Struthio camelus: one gene and its partners. The protein of the gene in region 1 purifies or fractionates together with the protein of each later gene. This does not show direct contact. Links are inferred from orthologs where the notes say so. Each region holds a gene or a part of one and is shown in the gene's direction. Other genes may lie near its edges.

What was found.
Region 2: the proteins of NUP214 (region 1) and NUP88 purify together in Homo sapiens (affinity purification with mass spectrometry; 6 studies listed by BioGRID and IntAct, counting the BioPlex papers as one, with this or other methods). This does not show direct contact. The link is inferred for Struthio camelus from reciprocal best matches to the Homo sapiens genes NUP214 and NUP88.
Region 3: the proteins of NUP214 (region 1) and RAN purify together in Homo sapiens (affinity purification with mass spectrometry; 3 studies listed by BioGRID and IntAct, counting the BioPlex papers as one, with this or other methods). This does not show direct contact. The link is inferred for Struthio camelus from reciprocal best matches to the Homo sapiens genes NUP214 and RAN.
Region 4: the proteins of NUP214 (region 1) and XPO1 purify together in Homo sapiens (affinity purification with western blotting; 4 studies listed by BioGRID and IntAct, with this or other methods). This does not show direct contact. The link is inferred for Struthio camelus from reciprocal best matches to the Homo sapiens genes NUP214 and XPO1.

The regions. Positions count from the first base shown.
Region 1 is NC_090961.1:6,136,845-6,144,248, reverse strand, and holds the start of NUP214 (nuclear pore complex protein Nup214), read left to right. Parts: upstream 1-4,390; 5' UTR 4,391-4,742; coding exon 4,743-4,784; intron 4,785-6,385; coding exon 6,386-6,581; intron 6,582-7,404. Other genes in the region: AIF1L (allograft inflammatory factor 1-like), read left to right, coding at 1,523-1,610. UniProt on the Homo sapiens protein: Part of the nuclear pore complex. Has a critical role in nucleocytoplasmic transport.
Region 2 is NC_090957.1:13,531,006-13,538,386, forward strand, and holds the start of NUP88 (nuclear pore complex protein Nup88), read left to right. Parts: upstream 1-4,378; 5' UTR 4,379-4,400; coding exon 4,401-4,643; intron 4,644-5,561; coding exon 5,562-5,731; intron 5,732-6,219; coding exon 6,220-6,345; intron 6,346-6,559; coding exon 6,560-6,646; intron 6,647-7,237; coding exon 7,238-7,381. Other genes in the region: RPAIN (RPA-interacting protein), read right to left, coding at 895-924, 1,506-1,640, 1,778-1,841, 2,415-2,529, 3,059-3,122, 3,715-3,903, 4,121-4,198. UniProt on the Homo sapiens protein: Component of nuclear pore complex.
Region 3 is NC_090958.1:14,150,664-14,157,726, reverse strand, and holds the start of RAN (GTP-binding nuclear protein Ran), read left to right. Parts: upstream 1-4,059; 5' UTR 4,060-4,120; exon of another isoform or gene 4,121-4,417; intron 4,418-7,063. Other genes in the region: STX2 (syntaxin-2), read right to left, coding at 3,708-3,737. UniProt on the Homo sapiens protein: GTPase involved in nucleocytoplasmic transport, participating both to the import and the export from the nucleus of proteins and RNAs. Switches between a cytoplasmic GDP- and a nuclear GTP-bound state by nucleotide exchange and GTP hydrolysis.
Region 4 is NC_090944.1:131,247,973-131,255,707, forward strand, and holds the start of XPO1 (exportin-1), read left to right. Parts: upstream 1-4,729; 5' UTR 4,730-4,881; intron 4,882-4,949; exon of another isoform or gene 4,950-5,597; 5' UTR 5,598-5,621; intron 5,622-6,293; exon of another isoform or gene 6,294-6,470; intron 6,471-7,735. UniProt on the Homo sapiens protein: Mediates the nuclear export of cellular proteins (cargos) bearing a leucine-rich nuclear export signal (NES) and of RNAs.

The DNA.
Region 1 (7,404 bases):
AAAGCTGCCTGCTATGTGCTAGAGCAGGCTTCCTCCTACATGATCGGTGCAAGTGATTCTCCTCCTTTTCCTAGAGCATGCAGGCACTCAGCTTTGCAGGACCTCTTGCCTCTTCCCTGTGGCTCTTGCTGGCTTTGCACACAGGCTTTGCCTGTGAATGGTGTGAGGACTTGAGCAGTGAATGAGGGCCCAGCAGGGCTGGCTCCTATTTGCAATAGGATGCTCTGTCCTTGCCTGGTTTTGGAGAGCGAGGCAGTGTGAGAGTAGGTGGAGAGGGGACACATGCTTAAAACAGCTGGCTTGTGCTGGTAGAGGTTTTCTGTGGTTTTCAGCTGCCAGCGCTGGCCTCCCACGGCCTCCTCTGCCCTCTCAACGGGGCTCTGAGTCCTGCTGTAACAAATGGCTTCTGAACACTAGCTTGGCTGCTGCTAGCTGTGGGGTGGGCTCTCTTGGCTCCATATTCGCCTCATTGAAACCTGGCTTTGCCTTTTACAACCACAGAGCAGGCTGGCCCTGCTTTTGTGTCTTTAACTAATGAATAGGAGTTGCTCCCCTCCATCCCCCTTGGCCCTTTCTGAAGGCAGCTTTAGTAATGCAGCCAGCTTTCTGGGCAGGTTGGGAGGAAGGATCCTGTGCCCACCTGTCACATGTTCCCTCTGAGCTGGTAGACACTCGTTAGCCATGTGTCTCTCCTCTTCTGCACTGACTGCCCTGGGTCTGCGTGTTAAGGTGGTGTTCTCCCAGGCACAGACAGACTTCTGACACCCCTGCTTCCTTCTTTCTCTCCTGAAGCAGGCTGAGCCTTCAGCCTGTCCCATATCTTCCATCCTTCCTCTAAACTGCGGCAGCTTTCACAGGTGGATCCCTTTTGCTAACAAACAGGCACCCCATTGTCTGTTGGACTCTGAAGCAGGAGCAGAGATGTAAAACTTGTCCCAAGAGCAGTGAAATCTTTTGATCCAGCGTGGCAGCTGACATTCCCAGCATGGCTGCGGTCCTCAGGGAGGAAGACAGTGCTGGCAGTTGCAAAATGCTTAGGATTCCTTTGGCTACTCCCTTACTCCTTGTCTCTGCCCTCTTGCCTGGCTGCAGCTGCTTGCTTGATTCTTTTTTTTTTGTTTCTTTCAAATGTTGTGCAGTGTCATTATGTATGAGGTGGGCCAGGGATGGTATATGTTTTTATGCATCAGGAGTGCTTGGCATGCAGTGCATGCCCGGGGATTCGGAAATGGCTGTCTAAAGCAAACATGCTAATCCTCTGTGCTTTGGGAGGAAAACCAGCTGGGGCATTGGGAAACCCGCTCTTGGAGATTGCTGGAAAAGCAAAGCTGCCTGCTAAGCTGCCAGCACTGCCCTCTGTTGGCTTTCTGTCCTGTTAGTTGTGGGATGTCCTTTGCATAGGAAGCAAAGGCTCATTACATTCAGCAGACGAGATATACCCCTAATGATGGGTGAAGTATACCCCTAATGATGGGTGAAGATGGACTTGTTCTTTTCATCTATATTATCTGCTGTCTTGCAGGGTCATGATGTTTGAAGGAAAAGCCAATGAAAGCAACCCAAAACCTTCTGGCCCGCCTCCAGAGAGAGACATAGCCAGCCTCCCTTGAAGAGGACAGGCTGGAAAATTGGAACTGTTTGCTTTGCTGGTCTGTAACAGAGGTTACCTGTGCTTTGTTACTCTTTACTTTGGACGGTCTTAGTTTTCAACTAACCTGCCTTAGAGGAACAGCAAGGGAAGCTGGGGACCCCCCACCCAGCTCGCATCTTTCTGCTACATCCCTTAGCCAGCTTGATTTGTTAGAGAGAAGCTGTAGCACAAAGTATAATGTGAGACCAAAAAGAAAAAAATCCTGGGATCTTACTCTTTCCCTTGCCCTCTCTGCATTTCCTAGACGACAAGGAGCTACTTTCCTCCCAACTTGTGGATTCAGAGCTGTGCTTGTCTCTGCAGGTTCCTAAGGGGTCTCGTTGCCAGATGCTGAGTGCTTCTCTGGCAGCAGCTCTGGCCCCTGACAGCAGCTTCATGGGTGCAAAGAATTAAGTGCCTTCACTGCTCCATCCTGTGCTTCCTGACTTTGGACTAGTTCTTCCCCTCCTGATCTGGCCAAAACACAAGTCAGGCTCCCACCTTTGTGGCCTAGTCTCTTCCCAAATGAAGATGAGAAGGTGCATTGACACCAGAGGTCTACTTGAAGGCCTTTATGCTTGGAGTGGACATGGCTTCCTGCAGGGATGGGCTTCTCTCTGCTCCTTGAGTTCATCCTGCAGTCAGATCTTCACGAGTCTGAGCCAAGTGAGCTGTTAATGATCCTTTTCTAGTGCCCTTTAAGCAGATCTTAGTCCCAGGTCTCAATAGCCCCAGGAGTAAGACTCTGCTCAGCCAGCATGATGTGCCTGGGTCTTGCTCTCCTCTAAGACCTTTGCTTGCTGCTGAGGTTGGGATGGTCCTAAGGGAGTATTTCTTTAGCTGCTAAGTTCAGCAAGGACTTTCCTTTGGGCTTCACCTTGAACTTAAGTGCATATCATAAGTTTTTAAACTTGCAAAAATAACTGGCTGGAGTCCCTACCTCCCTGAAATCAGTAGGGCTAGCGTGCCCCTCTGTTCTGGAGGCCAGTTTACTGGGCCCTTCCACTACAGCTTGCCTGCTGAGAGGACATGATAAAATCTCAAACATAAGCTGTCAGCAGGAACATGGTCTGCAGATAAACCATGCAGGCAGCATCCTACTGGCTCCTACCAGAAGCGAGATTAGAAATAGGCAAGAACTGTCTCCAGATGACAGCTTTTGGCTCCTGGCTACAAGGCAAAGACAAAATTTTCCACAGGATGCTTCTAAACCAGAAGGCAGACTGGAGGGTGCCTCTGCAACCATGATGGATTAAAAACCCACCTGAGCCCTGAGGTCCTCAGAACCTAAAGGCATAAGTTCTACAGAACCTAAAAGAACAAGTTCTGCGAAGTCTGTCAGCTGAGGAAAAGCTATCAACCCACTGCTGCTTTTAATATCTTGGGTCTTCCTCCTCCCTTCCTAGTTTGCTAGGCTTTTCCTTGCCCTCCAAGACTTACTGGTTAGCCACAGGAAAAAAAGGCAAGCAGCAAGTGAAGTCACAGCCCTGATCTAAAAAAGGGAAGCTGCAAACCTATCCTGAAGAGGTGGAGAGTGCAACACCAGCCAGCTCAAGTGAGGCTGATTAAAGCTACTTTAGGGCCCCTCCCTGATAAATCCCTGCTTGGGTCAGATCTGGAGCATAATCTCTGAACAGGTGGCTGTCTGTCTTGTCCACAAAGTGCAGAAGCAGGCCTGCTGTTAGGCCTTTACAGCCCCTGAGGAAGGCTTAAGGGAAATTGAACCTGCAGGTTCAGGAAACTGCTGACTAAACTGTGAGCTCTGCAAGTCTTTCCAGACCATTGTGGATGAGGATCTATCTTCGTGCTGCTGCTCAGGCTTTCTGATTTTTGCAGATCTTTCTGCGTATGTTTCAGCTTTGTCTCATGGGACGATTGGGTGTGTTTTCCTGATGTAGAAAATCTCAAGCCTGCAAAATAGGAATGATTTACAAGCATGCAGTAGGATGCCAGGATCTAGAGGTAGCTGGGACTCTATCAACCTTCTGGATACTGTTGTGATTCTTGCTCTATGCACAATTTCTGGATTCCAGATATTTGCTTTCTTCTCCTCCCTCCCCTTACATGTTCTTGGCAGCTTTTAACTTTTTAAAAATCATTGTTTAATAAATTTTTTAAAAGGAAATACAGATGATTGTAACTCTATGCTAGACTTATTGTTCCTGCCAAAGGCTGCACTTTTAAATAAAAAACAAATTCTCACTGCTGTTTGCGTGAAAATGAAAACTGTAACGGAGAGATAAAAACAGTGAGGAAGAGCAGCACCAGTCTACTGAAAAGACCAAAAATAAATCTTCTGAAACTACACCCTGTGTCACCCTTATTTAGTTTGGCTTTTCTGAAGCTTGGACCAAACGACCAGTTGCAGATTAAACAAGCTCGTTTCCAAGTTGGTTAATATAAACCCTCCACTAGATCCTGGAGATAAGAGATCAGATCAAGGAGGCCCCAACCTAACAGCTGACCGAGCGCTGTGGAGCTCGTGTTACAGAGCGCAGAGGCCGCCTCCTGAAAGCCAGCCTTCTTCTGACTTCGTGGAAAGGAAACAGGTGGCTGCGCTTGTTTTAAGGAGTTTTGTTTACCAAAAGCACTCGCTTGCGACGCGGCTCCCTTTCCCTTGAAGGCTTTTTTTTTTTCCCGCCCTCTCGGTTCTTAAAGCAAGTGGGTGTCAGGGGCACGGAGAGGAGCTGCCCGGGGGGGTGACGGGGCAGGGCCCTTCTCCTGCGTCACCCTGGGGCCCGCGCCGCCTTCCTGACAGGCTCCGCGGCTGCGTCAGAAAATAAGGCGGCCGGGGCCTGGACGCGGTTCGCCACAGCTTCCGCGCAGCTGCGGAAAGCTCTGGAAACGCACCTGGGGCCCTTGGTTTTGGGGGCCTGGAAGGGGGAAGCGCTAAAGCGCCGGCGCGGCCCCCCCTTTCCTTCTCCTCCCCCCCCCCCCTCCGGCCGCGAGGCCCGCGGCCCTGGAGGACTCGCGCCGCCTCCCGCCGCGGACCATCGAGAGCGCTGGCTAGCGCGGCCCCGCCGGAAGCGGAAGTGAGGGCGCTGGCGGAGCGCGCGGGGGTTTCGCGGCTGTGCGCCGGGCGGCGGGGCCTGCGGGTCTCGGCGCTGTGGCCATGGGGGACGACATGGACGTGATCCCCGAGCGGGAGATGAAGGTGAGGGGTGGGGGGACGAGGGCAGGCCGGCCGTGAGAGGGGAAGTCGTCGGGCTCGGGGATGGATTTCGGTGCCGGGGGGGAGGGGGGGAGCGTGCCGGGGGGGGGGGCGGCGTGGGCTGACAGGGGGCAGGGACTTTGGAGGGAGCCTTCCAGGGTCTGTGGAGCACTTGAGGACCTTTTAGGAGACTCTGGGACAGGCTAGGTGGTGGAGGAAGGGTGGGCTGGCGTGTCCTGGCCTGGCCTGCGGTGGAGGGGGGGCTTGGTAAAGCTGCGAGGATGATAAAGGGCTTGGCTGTGGGCTCTGCTGTTTTTCATGGATCTTGGGCGAGCTGACATCTTTAAGAGAGGAAAAAGGGAGAGTTGGAGTTTATGTTGGGAGAGGACTGATGCTGTTGTCAGTCCTCCTGTCAGTATGCCTAGTGCTGGGGTTCCCCTGCCTTGAGAACAGTAGACTTGAGCACAGCCTTAACGTGGGGGGCTCCGCGTATGGCGAGTAAACTGGAGTCTTGTCCTGGACTAGCGCTTCCCTGTCTGTCCCAGAGTGTTACAGGGAGGAATGTGGTGAGACAGGGCTGTCTGTGCAGATGCTCCAAGCCCATGTGCATCTTTGTGCAGCTGCTTTCTGTTCAGGCACCTCCAAAAACCAGGGAGTCAGGCTGTTTTGCAGGAGGTTCTAAGTTTCTGCAGCCTCCTTCCCGTGCAGGAATGCACTTACTCAGTGCTTTGGAAAAAATGAAGTAGTGCTTTATTCAGTGATTGGCATTTTGGGAGGACAGGGTCAGGGTCATTTCTAAAGGGAGTCTAGCATTTCACCTGACAATAGCGTAACTTGTTTCTTAATGCAGTCGATTTGTGTTTCTGTAGCTTTATAACTTCTGCAGTTTATCTCTTGCTCTGCTCTTCCCACTTTTACAAATGACAATGCAAATTATGAGAGGAATGAGCACACAACATACATTTGATTATACAAAGTAATCCCTGGGGGACAGTGGAAGGAATAACCATGTCTGTTCTGTGTATGTTAAACTGCTACTACAGTAGTAAAAAAGATGCGTCTAGATAGATGCGTGCTTTGCAGCTTGGGTCTCTAAGAAAACGCATTTTATTTAGTCATGCGGTATGTTTCTCTATTTCGTTCCCTTCTCTTTTTCTTCTGTATCTATTAGCTAGTTTCAGGTACGTTTTGCAGAGGGCTAGGTGTCTTGAACGTACTAAACTCCTACAGGTTTTGTGAAAACAGGCTTATGGTAACCTATGGTAAAGCATTTTAAAGTCAGTCGTTTTGTCTTTGGAGTGTACGTAACTTCCACTAGTTTTTTGATGAAGTAAATAATGGGAATTGTAGGCGCTATGCGGATAAGATAAGATGCACCTTAAAAAGGTATGGAAACAAGCTGCTCTTTACATGAAGCGCAAGTGAGTGTATGAGATGGAAAATGTGATAGGATGGCCAGGGACAGTGTGGGTCTGGACTCTGCCTTAGGGGTGTTTTGCAGCTCTCAAGGAGAGGCCTTTCAACTTACCGTCCTAGAGAAACTGAAGTAAACTGATCCTCGTTACCAGCATACAAACAGCTATTTCCTGACTCTTTTACAACAGGATTTTCAGTTTAGAGCGCTGAAGAAGGTCCGGATCTTTGATGCTCCTGATGATCTTCCCAAAGAGCGGTCCAGTCTTCTTGCAGTGTCTAACAAATATGGGCTGGTCTTTGCTGGTGGGGGAACGAGTCTGCAGATCTTTCACACTAAAAATCTTCTCATGCAAAATCAGCTGGGAGAAGATCCCAATAAAATTGGTAAGGCATGTCTCCTGGTGTTTGTGCAGAGACAGCTTTATATAGGTTTTCATGGTATGGAGCTCTTGGCTTCTGACACAGTCCTTGTCACGCATTTAAAATTACTGGGTTTTATGGTATTAATCATGCAGGAAGAAAACTTGCTGCAACTCTAGCTGATGCAGAGTATAGTCGTTGGGAACACGCTGTCAGGATGCTCTATGCTAGCTCACGTTCAAATGTCATTCAGGTTTGGTTTCCTGTGTTCAGTGCCGTATGGTGAGATTGGCTTTTCGTATGTGAGAGTGTGCCTCTTTTCTTGCAGCCCCGCGTTCTTTTGGTAGCCAGATTTTGGGCTGTGAACTTGGATAAGTATTCAGGATGTGTGTGAGTGGAGTGGAGTAGAGTTCTTGCACCGAGTTATCCGCTTTGAATAAACAACCGTCTTGCAAGAGAGGAAGAAATCACTGTTCCACAAGCTCACAACCGAAGTGCAAAATTGTCTTCATTCTCACCTTTTCCTTAATAACTATATACTGTGTATGTATATATGTATTGGCTATACCAAAGTATCCACGTGCTCCCTTAAGTAAAACCTAAAACGCGTCTAGTTATTTTTCCTCCAGGTTAGTGAGGAAGGAAAATGGGATTTTCTTAAGAATTTCTCAGACTTAAGAATTTGAGAGCCTCTGGTGAAACAGTATTGATAGAGATGAAGGGTTGGCTTTCACAGAGGGAATTTCCATATGTCAATTTTGACAGCTGCTGTTTATAGGACTATCTGTTAGGTGTGTGTGTTTTTGGTTTGGGGGAGGGGATTTGCATAAACCATATTGTTTTAAAA
Region 2 (7,381 bases), on another chromosome or scaffold:
CTTGTATTCTGGAATTGTGCAATTCAGTTAGCAATGATGAGCTTTGCTGTTGTGCAGGGTGCTCAGGGAAGTACGTGTACTGAGGTAGAGAATTAAGCTGCTTTACTGTGGTTTCAGTTTAACATAATTTTCCTTTATGACTCAACGAGAAATGTGTCTCATGACTGTTTGCAGAGGCTGACCAGAGCTGACCACATTGACCATGGGAGGAACAGGATTCTCTCCATCCTCCTGAAGCCTTGGCTGTCAGGAATCCAAATCCAAGCACCTGCTGTTCCCACCCGCTAGCCAGCCAACACTATAGTGTTTTGAGAGTCGTCTTTGTCTCACGAGAAATACATTCAACTTACGTTTCTCTTTGCTGTCCTTCTGCCCGTCTATGCATTGTTAACCCAGGTGTATTAAAACAATATTTGTTTACTAATTAATCGGACCCATGCTCAAATAGGGGGACGCCTCACACAAAAGCAAAGCTTTTGTACCAGAGCAGTCCCATTCCTTTAGGAGGATCCTATACTGAAAAGGAACTAGGTTTTGGTGCTTTGTGTAGTTAAGCCTACAGGGACTCCTCTGTTCTCTACAACAGAAGAAAAGGATATAACAAAGCACAGATGCTGTCAGTGAAAAGAAAACAAAAGCGAAAGCCAGTGCAAGCTGTGATATCACTGATGCACTGATTATAATAATAAAAAAACATGGAAGCTGAAATAAACTAGGTCTATTTATTTCAAAATATTTACTGTGTCATCAAAAGTGCAAGTTAAGGCAATACTACTGCCTTGTCAAATATGTTTTTGACACAACAGTTACAAGTATATACATAATAGTAGCAGCTCTGGGCAGATTTTTAAACTCAAGAAGTTCTTCCAGTGAAAAAACAGCAGCGAAATCAAGTTACAGGAGAATCATCCAGGAGTCACAGACCTTTACAAGAAGTAAGGGAAGTTAAACAAACAGACAAACTCTACTCATACATTTTATATATAACTCTATTAATATACAAAACTGAAATGCTCTGTTCCTAAAACTGTAGTCAGATAGGTACACATATCAGTGCCCAGCAGTTCTACTTAAGCAGCAAGTTTAAGTCCTTCCTGCTAGCTCTAGCTTGAGCCGAAGTTACGGTATGTGGGTTCTCTAAGAGGCCTGAGCTGTTCGAGGAGGCCTAAACTGAAATAACTTTTACAGCTTTTCTTCAGGAAACACTTCTCAAAATAGATGCTCTACACAAGGCAAAGTTGTTTGCTAAGGTGTGAGAAAGGAAGTCAGCTAATTTGATAGGTCCTCAAAAGACTCCCTAATCCAGCAGTTAAGGTGTATTTTGTAAATTGTGTAATGCTACTGCCCTTCCTTTCATGGTTGCAGGTAGTCAAGAGAGTCTGAGAGAAACAGCAACCCAAACCACTGAGGTCAATGGACTGCTGCTTTCTGTGTGTAGCTAAATAGGTAGTACAGAAGTTGGTCTGACCCAAGAGCCTTTCCAGAAACTTGACATTTAGACTCACCGAACAGCTCATGAGAAGACTGGTTTCTTCCTCCATTCCGCTGGTAACAGTAAACTCTGGATTGTGAAAGCACCTGTGACTGTGCTCTGTTATAGTGTTTTCTAGAACTGACCGGAGCTTCTCTTCTGTCATATCCTGAGATAAATTGGGTTAAAAGAAATCTTAGACTTAAGTTGCTCCGTAGCTTAAAACTGCCTCCTCTTGTTCAGAAGGAGGCTGACCTCGCAATAGACAGAGGATGTTAATTACACTTCATCCACAACATAGCTTACCTGTGTACTGATGTATAATCCACACTGGCAAAAAACCAAGTGATTCCGCACGGTCAGGTTATTCCTAAGAAGACAGCAGACACTGAGCATCTTCACAACAACAACTAGAACAAAGGCAGACCTTAGCAAGAGTTGTTAGATTTTTGGAGCTCGTTGCTCAGTTTTCTATTTTGTTGAAATACCCACAAACAGGAGCCTGTGTTTGCCTGTTGCTTTTGTTAGCGCCTGTTTCTAAGCCCAAACTTTTTATGTGCGGGAGGAGGGTGGAGAATCAATCCCTCTTTGTGCTAATTATGGCTAGGTTGATTGCAGCACCAAGGTTCCTCACAGAATACTTTGTTCCATGAATGGCACAGAAGAGAAATTCTGTGCTATCACCTTGCAGCTGAAATTCAGCCTTAACTTACACAATGATCTTGTTGTAACTCCCTTCAGAGTGCTCTAGACAGAGGCGGCTGCACGAAAAGACCCAAATATCTTGCACAGAACAACAGGAAAGAAGCCAGCGTTCATTAAGAGAACAATATCTAGAGTAGCACAGCTTTTGAGTGCTGCTCAGACCTGCAAGACTACGGAGTAGAGAAGCCCTGGGAGGCTTCTGTCACGCATCTCGTTCCAGCGCCAAGAGCGTTCTTACTTTCTACACACGGGGCAGATGATCTTGTCACCGGCATCCAAGCCATCAAGCATCGCATTGAGACATTCTTCATCAAACTGAAGACTTCGCTCATATTCTTCTATAAGCAACTGTTCTGCAATCAAGGAACAGAACACCCTCGGGCATCTGTTATGAGCTCAAGATGCTACAGAAACATGCATGAAGTTGCTTGGTGGACAGTCTGTGACAGCCACTACTTCTGAACGTGTCTATCTTATCTTTGGATCGCATTTCTACACTTGGAGGAATGATTCCTGTTAATCTAGTTTTTCCTATGGCTCAATCCTTAGGCGGTCTCAACTGTGCAAATATAACACACTTCAACCAGCAACCTAGAAATACTTTGCATTGATTTATACATGCTCCTACAGCTCCCAAACGTCACAGTGCTGTCTCCTGACTCTATTAGCTTCTCACAGACCCTAAAGCGCCATTCAAACTTACAACTGTCACAAAGGGCTCAGTGCCCTAGAGAGGCCACAGATACTTCCAAAGAGGCTCTTCTTGAAACTCCCATGGTCTACAAGAACTAAGGAGTTCAGTCTCACCCCCGTTTGGATTACTAGAAAGTCAGAAATATTACGATTTAAACTGAAGTCTGAAAAAGCGTTTTGAGAAATTACCTTGCAACACCAATTCATGTTGGATTTCTTCCAGCACTGCTAGTTCGTCAGGATCCTCTAGCATCTGAAAGGTGCATCAGTCAGTAATTCTCCCATTCTGCCTACATTCTCCCTTATTTTCCAGCGCCTGACTAAGCTGTCAGTGTAATGTAAGTTCACTCCTTACTTGTCTATCTGTCACATCTCTGCATTTGCAAAAACATGCACTGTAGAAAGCAACATACACGATACTAATCTGTGCAAAAATATTCATAAGGGATGGGATCACAGGCTGCCCAAGAATCTGCCTTTTAAAACGTTAGAGTCTTTTTACCATTTCTTGGAAGTGAAAGCAGTCAGTGACACGAGCGCTCTGAAAACCACAGCTGTGGAAATCCCCCCTCTGCTGCGATTCATGCCCAGCTTGTGCTGGAAATAAGGAAGTTCCCCGCTCCTGGGCCCGAAGGCCACCGCTCTCACAGCTGTTTCACGACATCCCGCACTAGCTGCCGAAGCTCGAAACCCAGAAGGTCTGAGCTGGGCCAACTCCAAGCAGAGGAGGCTGGAGCTCACCGGGGAAGAAAGCAGCTACAGCGGCAGAGCGGTGCACCCGATGTGCCCACCTCCGACGGGCGACATCCCGAGGCGAGGAGCCCGAAGGCGGCGGCAGTACCGACCTGTGCCAAGGGCTGCTCGCCGCGCAGGGAGGGCAGGCTGCCGGGCGCGGAGCGCAGGGCCTGCCACTCCTGCTCCATCACCTCCTGCACCAGCTGCGCGCCCAGGGCCGAGGCGCCGACGCGCTGCCCGGCCTGCCGGTACCGGTCCAGCAGCTTCGCCCGGCTGTTGCGCAGCCTCTCCACGCAGCGCTGCGGAGACAACACGGGCCCGTCAGTGACGCGCGGGGGGGGGGGGGGGGGGGCTGCTACAGCACTGGCGGAGCGGAGCGGCTGTAGCGGCAGTCGGCGCCCGCCCGGTAACGGCGCCCAGGCCCAGCCCACGCCGCCCGCTCCCGCAGCGCCTCGCTGCGCGCCCGGAGGCCGCCAGACGGCTCCCCCTCTCCCCCGGCGCGGCGGCCCCGCTCACCCGGCGGTAGGTCTCCTTCCAGGGCGGCGCCGCCGGCCCCTTGTACAGGGCGCGGTGCCGCCGCAGCGGCGCCTCCATGGCCGCCCGCCGCCGCCGCCACCCCCGCCACCCCGCCCCGCCTCGCCCGCCGCCGCGCCGCGGGCATGCCGGGAGCCGCCGTCACCCCGCCCCGGGGCACGCTGGGAGATGCAGTCCGGGCCGACGCGAGCCGATGGGAGCCGCTGATTGGCTGCGAGGGCGGGGCGGGCGGGCGGGGGAGGAGGCGGCGCGGCGCGGCGCGATGGCGGCCGAGTGGGGCCCGGCGGAGCAGTGGCGCGCGGCGCTGCCGCAGCACGCGGTGCTCTGCCGCCTCCGCGAGCGCAGCGCCGCCGCCGCCGCCGCCCCGCGGCCGCCGCTCATCCGCAACCTGCTCTTCGGCCTCGACGGCGACCTCTTCCTCTGGGACGGCGAGAGCAGCGCCCTGCACACCATCGGCCTCCGCCGCCTCGGCGGCCCCGAGCCCGCGGGGCTGGGCCGCTACCAGGTGGGGAGAGCCGTTAGCGGGGGGGGAGGGGAACCGTTATGGGGGGGGGGATCTGGGGCCGTTAGCGGGGGGGAGGGGGGACCGTTATCGGGTGAGGGGCGTCTGGGGCCGTTAGCTGGGGGGGGAGGAGTGGGGGACCGTTATGGGGCGGGGGGGGCTGGGGCGGTTGGCGGGTAGGGACGACATGGATCGGGGGAACGTGGGGTCCTTACCGGCCGGGGCCGGGGGGGTCGTTACCGGGAGGGGCTGGACCGGGACCGGGGGGAGGATGGAGATCGTTACCGGGAGAGGCCGGAGATGGGGACGGGATCGTCACCGGGACGTGGGGGATCGTTACCGGGAGAGGCCGGGACCGAGGGAGGAGATGGGGACGGCGATGGGTACCGGGAGGGGCCGTGGGGCAGCGAGCAGGGCCCCGTGGGGCCGGCGTGCGCTGGGCAGCGGCAGGGCCGGGCTGCGGGGCCGGGGCCGGGCTCAGCGGCGAGGGGCGGCCGAGGGCCCTGTTGCCGCCTGGGCGGGGGGGCCCCCTGGCCCCGCTTGCCGCCCTCCCGGCTCGCACTTGCCCCCTGTCACCGAGCCGCTGCCGCGTGCAGGACTGGGGGTAAAACCATCAGCCGAGGAGCACGCGTGGGTCGGCGTGGTGGCGGCTTCCCCGTGGCCGTGCAGCCGCTGTGTCCGTCGCGGCTGGGCTGGAGGAGTTAAGTGACGTGTGGCTGCAGAAGTACTTCTCAACGTGGGGCCCTCGCTCAGGGAAACGGATGGATTTTTTGTATGATGGTGTGGCTTGAAACAAGCTTTATTTATCACCCCATGGCCTGTGCATAAATCGCCGTGCAAACTGGATACTAAATCCTGAACGCTGTACTTCCATGAGCGTTTCTGATGGCTTGCGTTTAACTGTAACACTTTTATTTTCAGACTCTTCTCTGCATAAATCCCCCCCTTTTTGAGGTCTATCAAACACTGTTAAGCCCCACGCAGCATCATGTGGCGCTCATTGGTACTAAAGGGCTCATGGTACTGGAACTGCCTAAACGCTGGGGGAAGAATTCTGAATTTGAAGGTGGGAAATCAACAGTCAACTGCAGGTGGGTAAGACCTGAGGTGGTTCATGATATCCTGTCTTGCTGTTTGTTCCATGAGAGCCTCTGTTCTCGTCTGGCTAGATAGGAAAGGCATTGGTTGTATCAGGGTTGTAGAGACAATCACAAACGCGGTTATTTTGGCTCGGGGTTTGCTGTTTGGTTGTTGCTTGTTGCAACAAAGCTTGTTGCAATTGCAGAGGAACAAGGTATTCTTCTGTATTTTTCACTAACCATTTGGATCTTTTAGCATTGGCAGGTAAAAGCACGTTTTCAGGTGGAAATGGCAAAGGGCTACATATTAAAGCTGTCCCTTCAGCCTTAAGAATTATACAGCCAATGCCTTTGAAACATTTTAAATGGGTTTCCCCTTCTTCTTGCCCCTACTTTCCCCTGGAAGTAGTAACTCATTCTGTTTTTGTTTTTGGGAGGGATGTGTGGTTCTTTCGCTGTTGTTTTTTGGTAACATTGCACGCTTCTGCTCTGTATTACAGTACTATTCCTATTGCGGAAAGGTTCTTCACAAGTTCAACATCTCTGACTTTAAAGCATGCTGCCTGGTATCCCTGTGAGACATTAGAGCCCCATATTGTGCTGTTGACTTCAGATAACACCATAAGGTAAAACCTGTTTATAACTGATCATCAACTTTTTTTTGTAGTAGCCAGTCTGATTTTTCACTGGATCTTTTTGCATCACCATTCTCACCGGGTTTACCAAAAAAACGTAGACTGGGAAAAATTTTAGGCTGATAACTACTGATGTTTCTGTATCAGCAGGGACGCGTGCAACGCTGACAACTGAATTAACATTGTTCCTATCTCTTTTCTCCAGGATTTACAGTCTAAAGGTGCCTCAGACACCCATCAAAGTGATTGCTCTCTCAGACGCTGAAGAGGAGACTTTAATAATAAATAAAGGGTTTGTGTGGCTTCTTGTTTTTGAAATGTATCAAATGTGTTTTTAATTGAATGAGTGGTAAATCCACTAGAAAATCTTCTCATGTCTTATTGGTGCGCTAGCTGCACCTTTTTTTACCCCACGTTTATTTAAAAAAAAAAAAAAAAGGAGGAACAAGCTGTACAGTCTAGTGTTTGCTGGCATTTGAAAAATACACATTACACATCATCCTTAACATGTGGTTAAAAAGGGCTTTCTGAGAGAGGAATGCAGAAAATAATTGTCCTTCTCTTTTCTCCTTGGCCTAACTGAAAAGGAGAAACTCGAGGATCTTGGCTAGTCAAGCCATAGACTGATATATTACACAGGAAATACCGGTACGTCCCCTTGTATCCTGAGAAGTTGGACTGGCTGGTGAGCGTATTTCAGAAATGCGGCACAGGAAGAAAGATGTTACCTGCAGGCTTTTGCTGCTGAACATAGGACATCAAAGAACTGATTGTCAGCTGTTTAGCAGTAGTTTGTCTGACAGCACATACTGATGGACCTAGATAAATAACCTGTGTTCTCCCAGTCATTGCTGACTTCAGGTTTTGTTTCGACTTGTCCCAGGAGGGCCTACACAGCATCGCTTGGAGAAACTGCAGTGGCGTTTGACTTTGGCCCACTGGTGCCACTCCCAAAGAACATAGTTGGACAGCGAGGGAGCGAAGAAGTGTTGGCCTATCCTCTGTACATTTTATATGAAAATGGGGA
Region 3 (7,063 bases), on another chromosome or scaffold:
GTTTTCCCAGTCTGTTCTACTTAAAATACTTTTTATTAGATAATTTCTGACTCCAGAGCTATTGATCTATATGTCACTGAATCCATGTTAATCTGTGTGCACTCCTGACCATGAGCACGTAGCTTTTCAATTTTTTCCTCACAGCATCAGTCTTTCAAGAAATTTTCTTTATCACAGGTAGTAAGCCTTTTCCCTTACTGAGGGCCAACCAGATCAGTCAGGCACCTTTAGCAGGTCAATCGCTAACATGCATGTTAGTAGCATTACTGCACAACATAGAAAAAGATCATATCGTGACCAACTATAGGAAACTACTTTATGCTGTTATGGCATGGAAAACTCATAGCTCATCGTTAGAAGAGTCTATGCTTAAACAAAGACTAATGTAAAAAATGAACTCAGAAGAAATAACTTGGCAACTTTTTTCCTCACTCTGAAAAAGTTCCTCTTCCAGTTTTTCCTTACTGCTACAATTCTACCGATTTTAAATTTTGTGACTTTGTGGTTCTTTACCCTACTCCTAAATAGAACTTTTGGGGCACTAAGTGAATGCACAAGAGGTTATTCACAAAAAATAAAAATAAAAATAAAAAAATCAGTGCAGTTCTGTTCAAGTTACTGTAAGCATTAAGTTTGCTTAAGCAGAAAAGGTTTATATCTTACATCTTTAAATGGCATAACAAAAAAAAAAATTTGAACTCTATTAGCAGATCTTTAAAAGGACATCTGTTTTTCTGTTTTTAATACCCAATGCTGGCTAGATGTGCTGAACCCACCATCAGAGCACAGACTGTATAACTCTTTAAAATATTAACATCATTTTAATGTGGTCGTGTAACCCCAAACTGCAAACCATTCAGGGCTAGGAGAATAGGCCAGGGAATCATTGCTACGTGCTTGCCCTGTTGTTCTTTTCTTCACTATGCATACGCCATTGAGCACTGTTGAAAACAACATGTTGAGTTAGGTAGAACTTTTTATTCTCATTTTAATCTTACACTCGTTTTGGCTAAAAATAACTAAATACCTCTGGAACTTGATGAATTGTCCAGTCAATCGCAGCAAAGGAATAAAAAAGAGAGCAGACAGAATAATTTGTAAACAAGATGTTGAAATCATCCCCCAGAAGTGAACAAATACACGTAAGGCTGTTATCTTCTGAGAAACGTATGTACATTGCAAGACTCTTCCTAGCTGACAAATAATAAGCAGCAACATTATCTGCATGTCCACAACAGTTTCTCTTTCCAGGAAGTATTTTAGCACTATTTAACTGTCTGATATAGTGTATGAACAAAAGTATCCACAAGTTGAGATAATTTCATCTGCCAATGGACCATGAACATTAATAACTAACATTGCTTGCTATCCTTTATAAAGAGAAATCTAAGAAAACAAAATCTTCCATTTTAAGTGACAAAATAATTTTCTTGCCTTCAATTACAATTCAGGAACATGGAAATGAGGACTTGTAAACTTAAATGTGTGTTTCTTCTTAAGGGAGCATTGCATTTATTTAAAGCAGGTCAGTGTGGACTGGTTAAAGTGCTACGATCTCTTAAACGATTTGTGTAGCATATCAAGTCTTTTAAGGAAACAAGATGGAGGTAGCTTTCATATAAGATATAATCAATTAAATACAAAATAACATTCTCACATTAAGGCAAAGACTTAGTAATTCCTGAAGATCATGAAGGCCCAGGCCTGTTTAAAAACTGCAACATACAACCACTACCCTTCACTTAATGATTTTGCCACATAAAATACAGTGCAACTTATACTAACTAGTCTGAAACAGTTTGGAAAATGGGCAAACAAATGTTAATGCAGTTTGTATGATTTCTAGAGGTGATTTATTCCTTTTCAAAGTAATTTTATCTATGTATTATCAAGGAAAGAATCACTGTTCAAAGTGTTTATGGTAGTAAAGGAAAATCTTTCACATCACCAAAATTTCATCTCTTTTGATGTTTCAGATAAAGAGGCAAGATCTTAGTCGCTACTTCTATGAATTCCCTGTGGATATCAAGTTTTACAAAGGCTATCTCCTCTGGTATGTATCTTCTCTAAACTTTTGACCAATAGCATGCTTTCAAGTGATAAAACATAGGTTGGATCTTTGATCTTTCTGCTTTCACTTGACATTGCCTTCACTTTGTTCTTGTTAGAAGAGAGTTCTCTGTCCTTTATTCGAATAGAGTCCTTATTTTAGATCCCTTTGCTATTTGTTAATTTTACAGGTTGTAAACCTCAGTTATACTCTTGAACGTATGAAGCACTTGACAAATATTGATCCCAGTGTTTGCAATTAAAGTAGCAGTTTGCAGCAATGATGCTTTTAGATGAAAAATATTAAAGGTGGCCTAGAAACCCCTACGTACAGAGTTACTTTAAAAGCGTCTAACAATATCTAAGTGAATTATTTTTATTTTTTAATCAAAGACAGACCACTGCTGCTTCCCTACAGTCAGGGCAGACTACATGTTTTAAGACTATAAATTAAAAAGCAAATTCAGATCACCGTTTGCTGCTTCCTTTTTCCTGGGAAGAATGCACCACCACTGAAATTTGGCACGTATTCCTACAACCTGGACAAACTTAGAAACAGGAAATAGGAGAAGAGAAATATACCTGAAAGAAAATACACTTTTCTTTGACAAGACTCTCCTCTATCTTCCCTGGTAAAGACACTGTAACCTAATCATGCAAAAACTTTTCAAATGCCAATTCACCCTTTTGGAGAGGAAGACAGACTGGTAATCCTACTGCATAAGAACAGAGCTTCTGAAATGTATTTTCTGAACCATAAGATGTGAATTTAAGACAAATAAGGCCCAAATCTGTACATAGCTCAGCAGAGGCCAACTACGTATATGTGGAGAGTCCTAAAAGTATTAGAGACTCCTGTGCGCGCTCCAATTTCATTTATCCTTGGAATAGAGTCAAATACTCTTTTATTTTGACCAAGCCATGTCCTGCTGAAAACAGACAACACAGTACCTCCCTCCAACTCTCCCTCTTTTCTTAAGGATACTGCTTTTGAAGCGTAAATAAGAGGAAGGAAAAGAACGAATAAACATTTCCAACTACCATTTTTAAAACACACGCAAAACAGGATCTGCAGATAGCTTTATTTGCTGATGAACGTATTACTGGTGAAACGGTTCCAAAGCAGATATTCTATTCCACTACACTGTGGACAGTTCAAAAACAAAATTGTTTTCCCCCGTTCATCCGTCATTCAGAATATTAATATTTAAAGTGTGCTGGAGGGAGGAAGAGGGAGAACTTAAGCTATAAAAACAAATCGCAGGAGCTTGAAGTTTGTTGTAAGAATCCCGACGCTTAGAAGCGTCTTCCCATCTCTGGGGAAGGAAGTTCTCCTCCTCCTCCTCCTCGAGGAGGGAGTGGGAAAACAGCGCGCGGCAGCTCGGAGACCTCCCTGCCCCCAGGGACCGGGCCGAGGCGTCGCCTCAGCGCATCCACCAACGGAACATCCACGTTCCCGCCGCCGACCGTTACCTCAGGCGGCGACCGCGGCGACCACCTCCCCCGCCCCTCACACCCCGCCGCCCCTCTCCTCGCCACCGGCTCCGCCGCCTGCCGCCCCCCCTTTCCCGGGGGCCGCCCCCCCTCCCCCCCCCGAACTAGCCTCTCGGCCGCCCCCGCTCGCCACCTGCCCTCCGGCCCCCCGCCGCAGCCCTCACCTCTGCCAGGTCCGCCAGCCGGTCCTTCATCCCCGCAGCAGCTCAGCGCCACCCCGAGGCTTCCCCGGCTGCTCCTCGCCCGCCGAAGAGAGCCGCCGGCGCTCGGCCCGCCGCCGCCGCCGCCACCCCCCCGACCCCTCCGCTCCCTCCTCGGCCGGGCTCAGCGGACCGGCCGGGCCGCGCCGCCTCCCCGCTCTCCTTCCGCGGTGCGAGGGGCAGCTGCCACCGCCCCGCCCCCTCCCAAAGTCACGGCAACGGCGGCCCGGCTCCGCGCATGCGCCTCGCGAGGAAGGGGGTGGTGGCCGCGATGCAAATTCCTGGGCGCGGCCGCGCGGAATGGCCGGGCGCGGCACCCGTCCGCCGGGGAGCTGACGTCACGGCAAGGCCCGAGGAGGGCGCGGGTAGCTGCGCCAGTATTTGCGAAGAGGCCGGTGGGAGCTGGGGGGAGGGAGGCGCGGCGGAGTCGCGCGTTGCCGCGGGCCTGTTCAAGACGGGCACTTCCAGAGGTAGACACGTGCGGAGTTAGAGAACTGACTCTTCTGAACGGTACCCACGAGGAAATTCCCAGCCCCAGCGAGCAGTGCTGCTAGGCGCGTAACAGCAGGATGTTATAATAGCACAAAACTTGGGGAGACTGTCATCAGCGAAACAAACTGTTAAAAGTTGCGATAGGGTTATTTTTCAGCTGTATTTTATTTAATTCTTCTCTGGTGAGTCACGTGGGTAGGCGGCAATCAGACTTCATGCAATGCATATTTAGTTCAGAAAGTGAACAGACTGTTTCCTCTCTTTTCTGACAGTTCAGCTCACCACAGGCCATAGATACTTCCTTTTGCTGTTCCGTAACATTAAACTACGGCTTGCTAGTCATTCTTAGAACATCAACGTAATGACAGGAAATTAAAGTTGCACACTTCATTTTGTGGAACAGAAGATGAGCTGAGGACTTTTTTTTTTTTTTAAACTCTTCAACTAATAAGCGCTGAGAAACATTGCCTTGTAGTGACTTTAAGGTCTCAGGTAAAACATCAAAAACAATGACCACAAAGTGTCACAGGAAGACAAATTAAAGACTTTGCCAAAGTCGTAAATCAGTGCAATAACAGATATGCTTTAAAGGCCTGAGAGATTCTAGGAAACATCGCAGACATACCATAGAATGCATAAAGTCCTCAGTGATCCTGAGTGATCCGTTTTACCTATCCATGTTGAAAATGACTAATTTCCTTTTTAAATTTCATGTGTCACCTGGAACACCAGTGTGCAGAGCTCTGTTTCTGTTTGAGCTAATATTCCAGACATTTCCACAATCAGTGCTTTGACTGTGAAACATACCAATATTCCTTTTAATTTCTTGCTGGTATGCACTGTTGTCATCTTCTAGAGTTTGCAAAATAGTTTGCTAACGTAGCAGTTGTGTTCAAAGATAACATGCTGTTTAGCTCTGTGACTGTGGTCATCTCCAGTACAAGCTTTTGTACCACTCTTTATTTGCATCTTCCCTGACTTCCTAAGTGCTGTCCTTTACTTTATCTGGGTCAGTGGCTCAGTTTGTTCACAGTTGAGCTGAGTCAAGGTACAGGAAATGTACAAGATCTTTTAAGGCTTATTATTCTGCTGATTACGTAGTGATATCTTAGGGACCCTAATGTCTTGGTTATCTAACGCTGCTGATTAGTCATTGGAAGTGTTTTGTGGCCTTTGCTGAATGGAGCTATCTGGAGTAGATGTTTTGTAGATCCTCTGAACTGAATACTTATTTGTATATATTTAAAACAGATGCTAACAAGTAGATCCTATATGGCAAACTTATCTCTGCAACAACTTGTAAATATTTGGCAGGAGCTCAAATCAAATGATTGGGGACTTTTTAATTAGCAAGTCACGTTTAATTGTTCCAAAGTAAAGTATCACACAGTATTATTGTTTTGTTTGAAGGAAAAAAAGATAGTTTACTAATTAGTTTGTTACAATACTTAGAAGCTTCTGTCGAAGAAATCCTCAATACTTCTGGGTTAGGTCAGAAGAGAAGCTTTTATTTACTATTAGTAGCTATAGGAGAGAGCACATGGTGGCAAAGGTGAAAATAAACCTCACCAATTTGGTCTCTACATAGCAAAGAGGAACAAGGCTTTTTATGTACTTTCTTAGTTATTCAAGAAGCTTCTTAACCAGTCAAAGGTCATAATCAAACACTTTTCCTTTTATGGAATGCTATAAATCCCTCGCGCCTCAAGGCTGGATGGATCTGGTTTTAACTGGTGACTGCTTCAGCTTGTCTATGAAGGAAAGTGCTAGCACAGTTAAGAAACATCCATGACAGGCCTCAACCAAGATTGCCTTTTAAATCCCTAAACAGTAAATAAAACCCTGAAATAGTCTGTATATTTACACAAACTACCACAGCTCCCCGCTTTGAGACTACCAGTCTCACACCCAGAGTATGGTAGAGGAGCCACAGATGCCCAGCTCAGGGCTTCTAAACAGATCCTCTCACTGCTCAGGCCATGCTGTCTCCTCATCCCCTCTTGCATCTAGGTTTCCTTATTCAGTTGAAATGAGCTTAAGTTTATCAATTTCTTCCTTCTTTCACTCACAAGCTTCCAGCATAGCAAGGCAAATTCCTCGTACATCTTGAGCCTTTTGCTGGCCTGATGAATATTTCCAATTTAAGCAACAGTTACAAAAATGTAACAGACAACACTTAAGAAGAAAACAGAGAAAGCATAATACTACTGTAACAATTATAAGGAATTCATATACAATCTTAGTTCCAGAGACCCAAACCAGTTCCATAAACTCCAGCTGTCTTCCTGATGCAGTTGTGTGGCCACTTTACAATATCTTTTATGTCAAGACATCATGTATCTTTTCATTATTGTCAGGGGTGTAAGTACAACATTCTCAGCTAGTGTTTTCTAGAGTGCTGGGCTGGTGCTCACTTGTTATAACTGTCCTACGTTCATAACAAAGGGAACAGTTTCTGTTGTATGAATTACCCAGACAATTCTGTTATATTTAATTTTCAAATAGGCCCAAGTGGGTTTCAAAGTTTTGCACGGGCGCCTAGCAAATCAACGTTAGGTATATTTGAAAGATTAACAGGAACTGGAATCACTGATATGCCCCTTCTTTGCACGAATTGGGAAGTGAGCGCAGTTCAAAGTATTTACACCTTGTGTATATTGGATTAATATATTTTAAAAGTATTAGTGCAACATGTAGTTAAATAAAGAACAACTAGTATTGCCCAAACTGTCTATCAGTTGAGCAACAACTGTCTCATGCAATTCAACATAAAGGTTTAAGGCTATAGTCAACTGAGATGCAAAGGGCAACTTATCCACTGGGTGGTC
Region 4 (7,735 bases), on another chromosome or scaffold:
CTTGCAAGGCTATAAGCTCTGTCGTGCTTATTTTTTACAGTTTTCTAAATGCACTTCATTCTAGGGCATTACTAGTAGCTGATGCAGGTGAAGAGCTGCATCTAATCTTCTGTTTAAAATATCTAATTTCAACTGAAATAGTCAATAAGGATTTTAACTCTTCTCTCTGGCCCAAAAAATCCAAACAAAAAAAAAAAAAAAAGAAGAAGAAAACAGAGCAAATGAAACTTCTTCGTAAGCCAAAGAAGTTAAAAATATCTGTGACTTGTTAGTCTCTTACATCAGTTTGTTTTGAACACCAGAACTAACTGGAACATCAAAACATATATGGAGAAACTGTTTTTTCCAAGTGTTACAAACACATGCATGCTTTTAACGCATCTGAAAACCTGCTGCACCCACCCATTCTGTGTTTATTTGAATCGCTTTCTATTTCAGTCCCTATCAACTACAACTTTATTGTCAACCATAATTCACACAGCAAAAACGACAAATTTGGTAATTCCTATACAAGTCAATCCACAGAGTTTCAAGTAAGATAAACAACATGAAGTAAACAAAGCATTATGTATTTATTATCATCATGACTGAGATGTTACAGGACAGAATTATTTTGATGCATGATAAAAAAGTTAGATATACTGCATTCACATTCCCGCCCTTCCAAATCTTAACTGCTTCAAAAATTTTTTCCAAGAGACTTGACTTACAAATTAAGTACAGAAAAAACAGTAAAGTTCTCTGCTATTATTATTATTATTTTTTAAAAGACAATTATTCTTCACAAGGAGAAAAAAAAAGAGGGTCTCAGAGTTGCAGTTTCTACTTTGGGTGGCCTTGTAGTCTTGTCTTTCTCACAAACTCTGAATTCAGAGTTTGTGAACTTATTAAGTACATCCAAAGTCTAGATGTCTAAAGACATCATCTAAACATGGGCCAGAAAGCTTCTGCAAACATCCGATTCAGCCAAGGCAAGCTCAGATACTACATCACTTTCAGTATGCTCTCCCCGCTGCCAAACTGACCTGTGACTTTTCTGGTGGCTCAGCTATTTCCCCTAGTAACACGTCACACAGGACCTAATCTGGTATCACATGGCCTTGAATCTCCTCAGCTTCTGCCTGAAACATAAATAATGTTTATTTGGATACAAGCATTAGTTCCCTAGCCTTCACATAATTTTTTTTACATGTATATGTGTGTGTATATATATATATATACACGTGTACACACAAACATATATATTTTTATATATATATATATATATATATTTTTAAAAACACAACAAAACACAAAGTGAAGGCTGAGGGACAGGAATATCCACAGCCTGCCTAGAACTTGTAAGGCTATTGAGAATCATAGTTACGAGTACAGTAGAAATAGGTGTAGCTATAGTCTATTTACTGAAGTTTATTTATTGACTTGCACACTACTAGAAATTTTCCTTTGGGATTACTACAAAAAATTAATCTTGGCATTAATTAAGTTCGGCATTTCTAGGTTGAACATTGATTTATTGGCTTAGTTTAGACAATTTTTCTTTTTGGTGATTCTCCACTAATGAAGAAGTGCCTGTTCAACTTGGAAATACATCACATCATCGGTCAGGATTTGGTATTAATCGTGTGAAATGTATTCCTTTTTGGGGCTGTGGTCTCAAAAGCAGTCTCAGCTAAAGAAATAAACGTGATAGGGAACAAGTAACTTCCTGAGAAGGTATTATTCTTAAGTGGCATTATGAACTACTTCATAGACGCTGCAGTTTCATAATTTCACATAGCATTGTGGAGCTAGTAGTTCAGCTCAGACTAGACATTCAATACAAGAGAATAAGCTCCCATCCTGAAAATATATATAAAAATTAATAAAAGTAGTCTATGAATGGGCTCTTGGTTGAAAGAGCTACCTCCTACTTAAACCGACCAACTCCTTAAACTTTTGTAGACGCTAACTGAACAGTCTTTGAAGCAGCATGAAGTTTTATTTAAGGGTAGGCTTTAACATATTGTCAGCACAGGAAACATTACATACAAAGCTGTCATCTACAACGCAATCAAAAATTACATAAGCTGTAGAGAATAAGTTGTCTGATAAGGTTGCTCTGTTAAAATTTGGACAATCACATAGAAAAACTCCAGAAATAAAGCTTTATTAAGCCAGTACTGTAATTATCCATCAACTTCGGAAGACAAATCTTTGAATGCTTTTACCAACAAAGACAAGCTGTAGCATAATAAAAAGTAGAAAGAAACTGAGGAATGCACAGGTAACTTGAATAACTACTCATTTTAATAAACATCTTATTTTATGTTGACATTCATAGCTTATAGAACTATTCCATAGCCATTTTCTAGACATTTACTTTTGCAGACGATGTCTCACAGGTCATCACCCCGTCCATTATTATCCCATACACGCTATGGCTGTATACTTCTTCATGTACTCACTCAGCTCATTTCTACTACAGGTTTTTACTAAAGCTGTGGAGAACTTATCCTAGGAGGTTCTACCAGAAGCTTCTTAGAGCCTTTAGATAAAAAACAAACACTAGTTGAGAGGCTTATATTTCACATGCCAGAAGTGAACACAACTACCCGGGCAGATGATTTAAAACAATAATTGATATAGAAATAATACATGTTGATAAAGGAACACAGATCTTACTATGTCTCTTCACTTTGCAGTTCATTTTTATAATTTCTGTTTTAATAACGCAACAGCCAAGAATCAAAGGGCTTACTTTTGTAAAGCTAGTCTATTAATGCCAATCCTTTTGCAACCTGCTACAGTTTAGAGCATAAGAAATTGGCCTAGCAAAGTTAATACTAATGTTACAAATTAAACTCTACATATTCAGCTGAAGAATCCCTTGAATACTCTAGTGTACTCTGCAGGAATACCAAGGAAAACATCTACCTTTCAGAAGACCCGTTGTAGTATTCCCAGATATTTGCTGCACTTCCATCTTGCAAAAAAGAAGCAGAACCAGAAGATATCGGTTTAGTTTCTCAAAGACAACTGCAAACTTAGTCTTTCAGTTCATGAGAGAAATAAAGGCAACTCTAAAAGACTCTGGTTTTGTTAGCAAAAGTCAGCATTTCTTAGAGGATAGACTTTTGTAAAGCCTCATGCTGAACATGCATAAAAGCACTCACTTTTTTAAAAAGCTGTTCAAAAGGGCTCAAGCATAAGCTTTTTCCCCTTCTTGGCCATAGTCTAGCTCCGCAACATCTCCAAGCTCCACGGACACCCCAAGTTTCCTTTGGGTACTGTAACGAAGACAGAGCATTCTACAAACAAAAGGCATCACTTCTATACAGGAGTTTCACTGGCAATGCATAGCTGTTTCAAAAAAATCAAAAGAAAAAAAACTTTACCTCCAACTAGGTTTGGACAACTGCAGTATTTGTTACTAGAAAGATAATGAAATACTTCACAGTATTTTCCTCCTCTTAGGAGGCAGAGATTTTTACAAGTCTCCTATACACATCATTTTTCAAGCAAGGAGCTAGGTTTTGAATTAGCTATACAGAACTTGAGTACCTGTACTGAACGTAAATTCTCATAGAGCACTTCTGCAGATAACTGTGTTACAGATGGAAGGTCTAACAAGACCCTGTTTTTCCGTGTTAAAGTTACTAAGCAAATTCTTTCACTCCTTCACATGACAATGAGACTCACGACCCCAGCTTGTTCAGTTTGAGCCACCCCTAAAAATTGAGCCTAGGTCCTCAGGTCATCCCTGTTCACCAGCTCTGGTGGACAAGCGTTTCTGCTATGTTTCTCTTACTGCTAGGTGAGTCAGCCTTGCCTGAACCACAGTCTGAGATGCATCTTTGAGAGACTGTGGGGGATACAGTTATTGCAGCAAGCCGGATACCCTATAAATATAGGCACAACGGGGTGGGGGAGGGGGGGGAGACCGCGCTTCAGAGCTGCACGGACCTTGGTGCAGGGAACGCGGGGAGGTACACAGCAGCCCTCAACCTCCACTGCCTACCCGGATAGCCTTTTAGCCTCCCGCAGCCTAGGGACACCGCAGCAGGGCCCAACGCCTCAGCATCCACCTGGCTGAGCCGGCCCCAGCTAGGGCGCCCGGAGGGGCAAGGCCCGCCATCGCCACCCGGCCCCTCGTCACCGGCGCCCTCTCGGTCCAGCCTGCCCTCCCGCCGAAACAACGCCTCAGCGCTAACGGGGCACCGGCGGGCGGCTCGAGCCGCCCCCAAACCGGCCGAGAGCCCCTTCTCCCTCAGGGACGAGCGCTCCCCGCCAGCGGCGCGAGCCCGCCCCCCTCAACCGCCGCCGCTCATCCACACGCCGCGCCGCGCCGCCCCTCCCCCCACGGCGCGCGCACCCTTCGCCAGCGCAGCCCTAAGAGCCGCCCTCAGAACAGCACGTCACACCGAGCCACCAGCCAATCGGAGCGCAGCAACACCTGTGCCCGCGGTTTAAGAACTACGAGGCGGGCCGGCGACTGAGTGACACCTCGGCTCGGCCTGTCAGCGAGCAGCGGCCCGCCTCCGCCCCCCCCCTCCCGCGCGCAAAGCGCTGCTGGAGAGGGGGCGGATCCCCTCTATCTTCCCCCCCACCCCGCCCGCTTCTCGCTCCCTCCACCCCTCGGAGGCGCGCAGCGGATAGACAGGCCCTCCGCCCAATGAGAGCGGAGGCCGCTTGCGCGGCGGCAGCGCCCGGGACCAATGGGAACGCCCGCTGGGCGGAGGCCTGAGGTTTCCAAACGCTCCGCGGCGCCATGGGCTGAAAACTAAACCGAGATGGAATCTCCCAGTCTGAACCGGTTTGAGCCGGTTCCGAGTCTGTGGCTTTAGGAGGGGGAGACGCGCCGCGCTCAGTCCCTGCTACCACCGCTGCCTCCGCCGCCGTGTGTGTGACCTGCTCATAGGGGAGCCCGCAGGGGGAGCCGCCGACACAGCTGGGGGGGCAAAGTTTAGTGCGAGCTTGGGGGGGGGGTGGGAATGGGGGTGAACTGAGCGGCGGCCAGGCCTGAGGGAGGGCGGCCGCAGCGGCGGGAGTAGCGAGAGCCTGGGGAGGCGAGAGAGCCGGCCGCACGGGCCGAGGCCTGGGGAGCCAGCGGCTTAACGAGGAGAGAGCCAGGGCCCAGGCGAGCCGCAGCTCGGGCAGCCGGGGCCACGAGGAAGGCGAGAGTCCCCCGGGGGGCCTCGGGAAGCCGGAGCCCCGCGCGGACCCCTCCCCCGGGAAAGAGGAGAGGGGAGCGCTCGCCGCTTGCTGCGCGCCCGGCGGCGGGCGGCCTTGCTGCGGGGCGGAGAGGCAGGAGGGAGCCCCGCGGGGAGCGGGGGCGCCGGCCCGGGGGCCGCAGCCTTGGGCTGAGCGCGCAGCGTAGTCAGGCCAGGACACGCTTGCTCGAGGGCAGTGTGGGGCGGAAAGGAGTGACGCTAATAATAAATACTCCGCAGGGAGAAGGGTGCGCGTGTATTTCTCCCTCCTTCCCCCACCCACCCCCCCGCTTCCCTCCTCGGGCTTTTTTGGGGGGGGTTTATTTTTCGATTTTTTTTTTTATTATTTTCATTTTTTTCGGCGCGTGGTTAGAAACTTCGCTCACCCACCCCTACTTTTTGAAGGAAGAGGCTGTAAGAAACACCTAGGTAAGTAACTGCTAAGGGCGCGAGACGGGGGTGTTGTAAGGCGTGGGGCGGGGGGGGGGGGGAAGAGAGCTCGGGAGGAGGAAGGTGTGGGGCCGTGAGCCGTAAAGGCGGGGGAAGTGGGAGGGCTACGGCCGGGTGTGCGTGGAGGGCGCGAAGTCTTGGCTGAGGCAAGAGAGAGGCGCAATGGGCCCTGACCAGAAACGGAGGGGGCGGGGGAGGTATAAATCGGGTCTGGGGTACAAGCATCCTAGGCCTTACGGTGCCTGCCGAGGAGCCGGAGAGGGAGCCGAGCCTACCACTGATGCTGGGGCCGTGGGGAGAGCGGCGGCGGGGGGTGCGGGAGCCGCCGCCGGGGCGCACGGGCCCGGCTGCCGACGGGGAGGGGGTGGGGGGGGAGGCCTCCGAGTCGGTGTGAGGGGCCGAGGGGGAGGGAAGGGGGATTGGGATCGGGCACGGGGAAAAACTAGGGACATAATCTGTAAATTATTAGGAGTGGAAGTTTCCAGAAATATTTTTTGTGTGTCTGTGCAGCAGTATTGAAACGTCCGCCTGGATCACGTGGGGGCCCTGTATAGAACGCAGGGCTGGGGCGGAGGGAGGGAGGGGGGAGGGAGGGGCCGCGCTGCGGCGGCCCCGCCGCGCTCCGCAGGGCCCCGGCCCGCCCGCCGCGGCCCGGGGGCGCCGAGCCCGGCCCCGCGCTGGGCACGGGAGGCCCCGGCGCCGGGCGGGCGTGAGGTATTTTGGGGCGCTCTGTTGGGATGCAGCTGTACTAAGGAGGAATGCCCCGGGATCGCCGGCGGATGCTTTGTCAGGCAGCGTGGATTTAATCTTGCACATGAGCCCGCGCCGGTAAAGTAGCGGGGGGGAGAAGCAATCGTTTCATTAGGGTTTCTGGTGTGTTGTGTGTAATGCAAACGCCTTCGTGGCGTGCTCTCTGTTTCTGCTTGTGCAGCTGGAAAAATAGACGAGTGTGATGCAAATAACTCGTTGGAATGGAAGAGGATAGCGGGGTGGTAATTCGCTTGCATTTAGCAATGGAATTACGTGTTTAGGATGGAGCTGAGCGACTTCCCTAGTGTGTGTGTGCACGTGTGGTGGATTTTGTTATTGCTGTTTTTGTTTTGATTAGTTGCTGCCCCCAGTCAGCTTTCTCTAGCTGCCTTACTTTGTAAATGGTTGCATGTGCTCTAGGGACCGTTGTGAATACTCCGAAGTATTTCCTTTTCCTTTTTAAAATGTGTATTTTCATTCTGATGTGCTACATACTCAAGTGGTTCAGGTAGACCATAATAAGATAATTGTGGCCTTAAACTTAAGGTCCAGGGTCACTTAGAGTTGGGATAACTATGTAAACAGCATTCTGTAAATGCAGTTCTTCTGACCTTCGATAGGTGTCAGATTCTTGCTGTGTTCAGAATTTTTTTTTTTAACTTCTCGTTTGGCTTTTGTTGCCCCACTTACTAGTAGTGTTGAACTGATTTGTAGCCGGGCCTGGAACTGGCAGTTAAAACGGTTCAGGTTTAGGCGTGATGGGAAAAGTGTAGGAGCAGAATAAATCAGAGGTTATAAACTTAATGTGGGTACCCTATAAGGAGTAGGAAATCGAGCTGATTGCAGCTGGTATTGACCACAAAGCCACCATTTCTGTATTTCAGTTTGCAAGTAGGTAGGTCATTTTGAAGATAATGCTGGGAGTGGCAAAGGACCCTATTCAGAACATTTCCTTTTGGCTTCCATGGGGTTGCTAACTTCTCTTAGTCACCCGGCTGTTGGATTGCGTCCTTAGCGCTGCATAAAAACAACTGAAACGGGCTTAAATCCAGAATGAATGGTGCTACCTGAAGAACATCTAATTTTAAACGTTTATTGTAGTTGAAAACGTCATTCCCAGCTCACGGTTGAGCCATGGAAACGGTATGTGAGGAGAAAGGGACATGCCTAGGAGTCTGTGTGTCTGGTGGGAGTATTAACTGCTCTAAGCTGAAGAGTATATTGATTGGTTGGCTTTCTTTTCAGTAGTACTGCTTACTGCCCGTTTACAAGATGAAGTTTTTAAGAGTCTTTCTGAGTTAGCAGAACTTTATTCCTTTTTTTTGTCTTGCTTCCATACATAA